Linked DNA regions of Arabidopsis thaliana. The protein of the gene in region 2 interacts with the protein of the main gene of each other region in a pairwise test. Each region holds a gene or a part of one and is shown on either strand. Other genes may lie near its edges. The genes, in order: AT1G65150 and XCP2.

Region 1 (4,765 bases), about 17 Mb from region 2:
AGATACTTGGATACCATTTTATCAAGTTCAACACTTGTATAAAGATACTATCCTTTTAACGTTGGAAGAACATGAGAGAAGCAGAAGGGAGCCCTATAAACCAAAGCAAAGTTCTTAAACATGAAGCTTTAGTAGAAGATGTACACAACCTAAAATTTAATAACTTAAAAGATCATTAACAAACGCATAAAACTCAAAATTGCCATCATTGGGCTGCATGCTTTGACGAGGACGAGAGGCATTATAGTTGGGGGGGTTTCAACAATGATATGGCATTCTTGTTTAGTACAGGACTAGTGTAACTAGCTGAGACATTCTGGATTGATCTAGGATCTTTGCTTCTTTGCTTAGGTAGGTTTGATCCAAAAAGTGAATAAAGAGAGAAAGATGTTGATTTTTGACTGGAGAGCAATAAATGTATTCAAAATGGTTTTTGATTTCTGAGTGACATCTCTAAAAACTTTGATGTTACCTTAACAGAAGAAAAGAATGCAAATGTTGAATCATAAAAATATTTCAAGAACTTTAATAAACTACGATCATTCACAACCGCATCAAAAGTCATACAAACATACAATAGTCAAGACATGCATGGTAGATATTTAGATATCCTAAAAACAGAGTAGGTAAGTCATAGAGTAGTAGACATGGCATGGTAGATATTTAGATATCCTAAAAACAGAGTAGGTAAGTCATAGAGTAGTAGACATGGCATGGTAGATACATAGATATCCTAAACATAGATAGAGCGTTAACTTCACATTCAGTTTTTACGCTTAAAACAGAGTAGTCCCAGACTCTAGAGTAGTAGACCTGACATGGTTGATATCCTAAAAGAAGGGATGGTTTTTATGGGAGTTTTTAATTTCACATTCAATCTCTACCTCCAAAGTCCCTTCACGATCCAAGTAAGCCCCCTCATTTTTATCGAAAGACATGGATTGAGGAAGACCCCACGCTTTGTTCGAGTTCATGAGCCAACAGTTAACTACAGAAACAAGCAATACATTAGTTATAAACTTAATACCACTAGTTTATAGTCAAAGGAGTAGGACATTTGACATTTTAAATTAAGAACGCCTATTGAAAATGTCATCAGCTTTGACAATAACCATTGACAAATAGTAACATCAAATAGTTTTTGACTTACGGCTTCCTGTTAGGTGATTGGATCCACGCGGGTCTAGAACCTTCAGGTTTACTCGCACGAAAATCAGCTCACCCTTGGCTAAAGTTTCACCGTCAGCTAAATGCAAATGCTGAATTAACTTGTCATCTGCCTCAGAGTCCCCCTTTGGATACAACTTTAGAGTCCTTTGAAACATAACCATCCACTTGTTAGCAAGTTACCACTAATGCACACATACAACAATATCTATCAGAAAGAAAAAACTCACCAATCCTTTTCTCCCATGTGAAAGGTTTTGGATACGTAATCATTCTGTTCCAGAAGAGCGAAATCACGAATAGTCCAAGAGAATTTGTGAAAAGGGAGATCTTCACCAAAAGAGGCGGGTCGTGAAACAATCTTCACATGAGCACCGAACTCATGTTCTTCACCGTACAAGATAAATCCCTTTGCACGGTCTTTGAGTGTTTCAACCGGAAGAGCTTTTGACAATCCCCAAACCGTTTTTGAAGAATTGAAACGCTTCACTTCAACATCTACATGTATAAACACATATTAGAGCTTCATTCTTATATATACACAGAGAAAGAGAGAGATAAGAGCATACGAACCTTGAAAAGAGAGGTACTTCTTCTCTTCCTCGCTGAAGACAAAGAAAGTGAGATAGGCAAACACATCAATGGGTGGTGTTGTCGATGAGAGGCATTCCACATACATAGACACAAACCCACTTCCATTGTCCGCTTCGTTTCCTTTTGGGTGAACAACCAATCTCCTGATTTTTACAAAAAGGACAACATTTCTTACTTATATATGTATACAGTGAAGAAAGATGGGAACTTTAGTGAAGAAAAATGTGAACTTTAGCAAAGAAAGATGAGAACTTTAGTGAAGAAAAATGTGAACTTTTTAGCGAAGAAAGATGAGAACTTGAAGTATAGAACAAGATCACATACCAGTTGTGTGCACCAGAAGAGAAAGGAGGGGACTCGTATTTCTCGTTAGCAAGCTGAGAAAGTCTGACAAGAGTAGAGGAAGGAGGATTCCTTCTCCAAGTCTTCAACACTGCAGGATCTGACGCATTTGAACCCATTTTCTCTACACAACTTACACAAGAGAAGATTTTTTTAGAATTCCCCAAACAACAGAGAGATCTATAGAAATTTGTGTGCTTTATTCTCTTAAGAGACTAAAGAAGTTGAAAGCTTAAAGAAAGAAATCGACGAACCTTGACGGAGATGGAAAGAGCCTTGACGGAATTCTGCGTCACCTTGAAGCAAAGAGAGAGATTGAAAAAGGAGAGAGCTTTTAAGGGATTCTTCGTCACTAACAAGTAAGAAGAGATTTTCTAGGGTTTAGATATTATTTTCATATAACGGGCCTAAAGCTACAAGACTGGCCCGGCTCGTTTTTTATTTTAGCTTCTTCTGCTTCAAAACGTTGACGTTTCAATCTCCAAAAAAGTGTTTTAAGATTTTGATAATATGTACTCGAAGAGCTATGTAATGTTGATTAAAGCTTCATAACAATTTTTGGCGCACAATTCTTAATATATATCACGTGAGGATCACGTAAACAAACTAACAGACTCTAACCCTATTAAGTCCTCGCCTAATCGCCTTTGGTCTTCTCTTCAACTTTTCCCATTTTCTTTCTCTGCCGTTTATTTTCTCGAGAAAACTCAGAAAGAAAATCTCCATTGTTGTTTTTCTTGGGAAAATCTGCCAAAGAAAGAAGGTTTTGCCTTCGATCATTGAGATGGATCCATCAAACGTTCAAGAAGTGGAGAAGCTCGAAGAAATAGATCCGTAAGTAGTTTAAATCTCATCCTCCGAGTATATATTTATGCTTTTCTCATACATTTTCGACTTGGTGCTTATCTTTTGTTTAGAGATCTCTCACTAACGCAAGACGATGCAGAGGAACCTATAGGGAAGCTAAACGCCACCTGTGTTTCAGCTCTTGCTATGATACTCAAGGTTTCGCAAACTTCACAAACCTAAAGAATTTGTTTTTCTCGATTTTGTTTATTTAAGTTTTCAAGAATGTGGATTTGTGCAGTCTATATGGAACATTAACGTTTTCGCAAGCTCCAGAGAAGATGAATCTGTTTTTCATGAGTTCCTTCTCAACGATCTAAGTCTCAAGCATCCTCTGGTCTAACCTCTGATCTTTAAAAAATCTATGTTACCAATTACTTCTTTCTCAAGACTTGATGTTTTCTTGTTCTCTACGCTTTAGGAAGCAAATGGTGTTTTTGACCTGTTTCTAAACATCTTGGAGGCTCTGCCTAACTGGGGTTTGTACTTTGAAGTATACGAAGTGGCTAAAAAGATTTGCAATAGATGCAAACTGGATTTGGAATATCCTGCTGAACGTTCTTTTCGTCTTATCATCAGTGCTAGTTCACTTAGAGAAGTCAAGGCAAGTCTCTTTTTTTCCCTTATACATTGAAAGTAGAATTCAGTCTCGTGAAAGTGTTTTGGTTATTTGCAGTCTGCATTCAAGGATTTTACATTTGAGAATATCATTAAGGTCATCAAGATGAACTTAAAGATGCCTTGTGATAAGGAAGGATGTGGGAAACAAAGCTATGTTCACCGTATGATAACCAAACTTCCATCTGTTTTCACAATTGGTAAGCCTATGGTATAAGCTATTAAGTTAATTTGTTAGTAGAGATCACAACAAAATGCAGTAGTTTTGAGCATATTTTTTTTCTCTCGTATTGTTTAGCACTTGAGTGGACAAAGAATGAGACTGCAGGAGAAATATTCGATACAGTTTCTGTTCTGGCGACTGAGATTGATGTTAATGTGATATACCAATGCGAAGGTGACATTCGATATACCAAGTACCGTCTTGTCTCAATGGTAAGGGCCAAGTACCTACAATTTGTTTCAGTTCCATTTAACTTTACTATGTTACCAGAAACAACTCCAATGTTAACATTCAGGTTTGCTTGCATGGAAATCGATACAACTGTGTAGCTTATGAAAACAATAGATGGGTCAGATATCTTCGTTCTGAGATAGAGGTATAAAGCTTTTAGTCTTTTAGACATTTTTGTATGTGGAATTGTGACTTCTTTACCTGAGTGAGGCTATGTCGCTTCTCCAGGTTATTGGAGACTGGGAGAATGTTGTCAGCATTTGTTTAAAGAATATCCGTCCACAGATTCTGTTTTTCGAAAACGTAAGGCCCTTTCGACTGCGTACTTGCTCATGTTTTGCTTTTATTATGTGTGTTTTCTCTCAATTCCACCTACTTTGAATTGCAGGTTATGCAAAGGGAGCAATAAATAGAAAAGCTTTTTCAATGGCATAGGAATCAGATTGATGTATAGACATAAAAGTGCTTGAGTCTGAAGTCAAAAACTTTATAGGAATCAGATTGATGCCTTGTTGGTGTTACACTATTGTGGACAGATTTTGTATATGTTTTAGCCCAAATTCACTATCCGGATTGTTATGCTCAGTGAACACTTGTGTGTAGATAAAACACAGCTCTGTCTCTTAAGTTTCAGAAGTAATAGACCATTTTGTGATGCTCATTGAACACTTGTGTGTAGATAAAACATAGCTCTGTCTCTTAAGTTCCAGAAGTAATAGACCATTTTGTAATGCTCCTTAACAC
Region 2 (4,092 bases):
CACAGTTTACTTCATCGACAAGATAGGTCGTGTCAAAATCCAGATTATGGGGTTTTTCTTCATGGCCGTTATTTATTTAGTCGCTGGTATTCCGTACAGTTGGTATTGGTCAAAGCACGAGCATAATAATAAAGGCTTCATGGTTCTCTACGGTTTGGTTTTCTTCTTTTGCAATTTTGGTCCCAACACTACAACTTTTATTATTCCCGCAGAGCATTTCCCGGCTAGGTTTAGGTCTACTTGTCACGGGATCTCTGGTGCCGCGGGTAAGCTTGGGGCTATTGTGGGCACTGTTGGGTTCTTGTGGGCTACCAAGAAGATGGAAAGCGATGATAAAAACCAGATTTATCCCGAAGTAAACCGTATGAGAATTGCTTTCTTGATTCTTGGTGGCGTTTGCATTGCTGGAATCTTGGTGACGTATTTCTTCACCAAGGAAACTATGGGAAGATCGTTAGAGGAGAACGAGCATGACCAAGATAACAATGCTGAGTCTGAAGATGAGCCACAGATTGTTGACGGGCAATCCTCCGTGAGCACTTTGCTTCAGACACGATGATGATCTCGACATATTGAACACATGATCAGTTCAAGTTCATACAATTGTATATTTCTGCTAATCTTTTCTAGATTTTGTTTACATTTTGCTTTGAGGTATTTTTTTCCAATTGCTTCTTACCCAAGAAGCTGTTTAATCTACATTTCCTCTGTTTTTTTCAGTTGCTTATTAACCTGTAAACTGTTCAATCTAAAGATTGCTCTGTTTTTTTCAATTATTTCTTCCCCAAGAAACTTTTTGTTTTTCTTCAATTAATACTCTGTTCTTTTCTTCAATAATCATTATTTTTAATATTCTCTGCTTTAATTTCTTCATGGTTGGTACTAGAAATTTGTCAATTCTCTGCTTCTTATATATAGGTATTATTGCACATAGTTGTTACAAGACTTCCGTTGATAAATCAAAAGAGAAAAAACGAAGACACTGTAAGATGCTGATCAAATGCAGATAAGAGAGAATGATCTGATGATCACTTAGTTTTGGTGGGGAAAGAAGCCATCTTGTTGATTCCACAGAGACCCTCTGGTTTCCCAGTGTTCCTCTTCAGCCTGATGTAACCTTTTTCTCCCCATTTTGGTCCCCAAGAATTCTTCACAATGATGTAATCTGAACCCTTGCTTGATCCATACCCAACCGCAGCCACACCGTGGTCAAGATCAACCCCGCACCGCCCATCAAACACGCCCTTCATATACCAAATACAAAATGATTCAACATCAACAAGAGCAATTAACTAACAACCATTTTCTTTATTTATAGGTTTATAATGTACTTACGCCGCTATAGAACTGGAACTCTCTACCAGATGCATCAATGGCGACACTGAGAGGCTGATGAGCCAATGCCTTCAAGAGACTCTTCTCATCATTAGTAGGTACGTCTTGGTGTCCATTAATGGTTACTGTTTCAGATTCATCCTGTTTTCAAAACAGAGATAATTAGAATGGGACCACCTTTCATTAACACATCAGAGACCAAGAGTTGATATTAGAATGGGACCTTTTGCATCTCGCAAGTTCCTTCTTCCATAGAGTAAGGATAATCTTCTTCCTTGCGTAGACCTCCGTTCTTAACAATGTACTCAAAGGCATAGTCCATGAGACCACCGTTGCAGCCATTGTTGTAGGTCGTGTCACAGTCTATGAGTTCTTGTTCTGACAATGTTGTCAAGTTTCCTGTCACAATCTTGTTTATACCTTCGACAGCTGCTACTGTCGAAAACGCCCAACAACTTCCTGCGAAACAAGTTTTTTAAAGTTAAATGGTTTAGTTAAGAGTCAAAACTTCCATTAACAGATCAGAGACCAAGATTTGATATTACCACAAGAGCCCTGGTTCTTAACTTCCGCCACAGCTCCTTTCTTTCTCCAGTCAACAGACTTAGGAACAGCTTCGACGTCCCTGTAAGCGAACTCTGCGTAAGATCTTTCTTCATCGCGTCTCACTATATCAGTCTTGAGCCCTAAATACATTTTCTTGAACTCCTCATGGCTCAAATCCGCAAACTCGTTGAGCCCGAGCCAGTAGCTTTTCCCTTTCTTGTTAGTCTCATCGATGTGCTTTAGATTATCCTTGAAAACTTCGAACCTAAGAAACTTCTCTTCAACGGTTTCATAAGCTTTCTCAAAATTTGAGATCCAGTTTTCGAAGAGTTCTATGAGTTTGTCATGAGATTCCAAATCCTCGGGGGAGTATCCAACGATGGAGTAATCGTGGGAAGAAGCGAAAGAGAGGGAGAGAGAAGCAGCGGATAAGGCAAGAGCAAAACAGAGGATTCTTGAAGGTGAAGAAAGAGCCATTTGAGTACGTTTGTTTTTCTTTTGTCACTTGATAAGAGGAAATGGAAGAGAAGAGCCTGTTTATATAGGCTGGAGACTCGATAGAGGTCGCTCTTTTTGCTTTAGAGTAAAGTAGTCTGAATCTGTAACTTGTGTAAAGTCTGTGTCTTTAAGCTTAGTTTTGTCTTTCCATGAGGTTACTTTGACTCCAAGTACTAATCGTATATGCAGGCCGGCTTTACACATGTGCTGGAGGAGCTGAGGCACAGGGTCTACCCAAAATTTCTTTTTTTTTAAAAGTAAATCTATTATAGTTAGGGTCCAAAAATTTTGATATATAACAAAACACAAAAATGAGAACTAATTTTTTTTTCCAGCTCTAGGTCCTTTATTATTCTGAGCCGGCCCTGCGGTATATGGTTTGTTTAATTATGTGCAGAACTAGAAACCTCTGTCTCGGTCAGAGGTAATCATTTAAGGAAGGCCTCAATGATAAAATGCCAACCTCAACAATAAGAAAGCCCAAAAGTGGGCCAACTATGTAATTAACTGATGAAAAATGTTTTGATCACCAATCTTAATTGAACAATATACAAATCATGGATTTGCGGCCCATAATCACTAACCTTTTATGGTATGAATGAATGTTGAAGTTTAGTTGATTATAATTAGCTCTTCTTTTGTTCACTGTTCTAAATTGTTTAAACATAATTCTTAATGAGACAATATAAAATTCACAAAACATGAGATTACGGTGAAGTATATTTCTGTTTTTTTTTATAAGATATTTATTCTGTAAAGAACAAAGTTTGACCTGTCAATCCACCAAGATTTCTGATAACAATGTCAGGAGGATAAGGATCTTCGTTTTACTTAGTTTTTAATCAGCTAATTGTTGAATAAGATATATAAAATTTAAGAACCTAATACGTAAAAACTTGATTTTTATAATGATGACCCACCAACCACTACGAAGTATGATCTAAATTAACACCATATTTTTCATAAAGTGGATTCATTTAAAACATGAATCATGTTAAAGTTACAGTTGAAAACTCACTGGTTCTAACTTTACAGGACATCTACTTGACTGCTTGTACAAAAAGAAATAAATGATTGTTATTTCTTATGCAGGGAAAAAATCAACAAAATATATAAGAATGAAAATAAAATGATAATAAAACATATCATAAGATCCGTTTGAGGTGGAGCCACGTGGTCGGAAATGCTCAAATGATTTGGGAGCACGAACTCTATCAAGAAAAAGACCATTGTCATATTTTTCTAGGTCGTACTCGTACATATGTAATATCTATCCAAAGTTTTCTTTTTTCACATAAAATCTCATTCCAGCGTTAATAAATATGAAGAGGACGTTAGATATTTTTATATATTCTCAAATAGCCTTGTGCTGAGAAAAGAAAATCATCAACTTGTCACAGAATTAGAAAACTATACGTATATGCTATCAATGTTGCATTTTTCTAAAATTGATTGTGTTGTAATTAATATAAAAAATACTAGTAGAGGAGAAGTAATTGGTAGGGCATAAAAAGGTACGTGAGAAAGTGACAAAGCACTAATATTATAAATCACATGCCCTCTCATTGACGCCATGTTCGTCTCCTATTGCATCAAACCCCATCTGTCTCTTAATTTTTAATTTTTGTTTTAAATAGTAGTTTTATTGTTATTATTGTATAGTAATCTTTGTAATTTCCTTCCAAAATCTATAATATTTTTTAGCCGCAAATT

The links.
Region 1: the proteins of XCP2 (region 2) and AT1G65150 interact in a two-hybrid assay, tested with the Arabidopsis thaliana proteins (one large-scale study listed by BioGRID).

What each region holds. Positions count from the first base shown.
Region 1 is NC_003070.9:24,203,337-24,208,101, forward strand, and holds AT1G65150 (TRAF-like family protein), read right to left. Parts: upstream 2,495-4,765; 5' UTR 2,358-2,494; intron 2,236-2,357; exon of another isoform or gene 2,228-2,235; 5' UTR 2,223-2,227; coding exon 2,086-2,222; intron 1,905-2,085; coding exon 1,741-1,904; intron 1,666-1,740; coding exon 1,398-1,665; intron 1,315-1,397; coding exon 1,151-1,314; intron 989-1,150; coding exon 831-988; 3' UTR 505-830; downstream 1-504. Other genes in the region: AT1G65160 (ubiquitin carboxyl-terminal hydrolase family protein), read left to right, coding at 2,888-2,937, 3,021-3,108, 3,191-3,286, 3,371-3,557, 3,626-3,651; AT1G65165 (inactive ubiquitin carboxyl-terminal hydrolase-like protein), read left to right, coding at 3,674-3,767, 3,866-4,002, 4,086-4,166, 4,250-4,324, 4,410-4,430.
Region 2 is NC_003070.9:7,250,474-7,254,565, reverse strand, and holds XCP2 (xylem cysteine peptidase 2), read right to left. Parts: upstream 2,456-4,092; 5' UTR 2,359-2,455; coding exon 1,881-2,358; intron 1,795-1,880; coding exon 1,559-1,794; intron 1,477-1,558; coding exon 1,336-1,476; intron 1,245-1,335; coding exon 1,029-1,244; 3' UTR 819-1,028; downstream 1-818. Other genes in the region: PHT1;8 (phosphate transporter 1;8), read left to right, coding at 1-559. UniProt on the Arabidopsis thaliana protein: Cysteine protease involved in xylem tracheary element (TE) autolysis during xylogenesis in roots. Participates in micro autolysis within the intact central vacuole before mega autolysis is initiated by tonoplast implosion.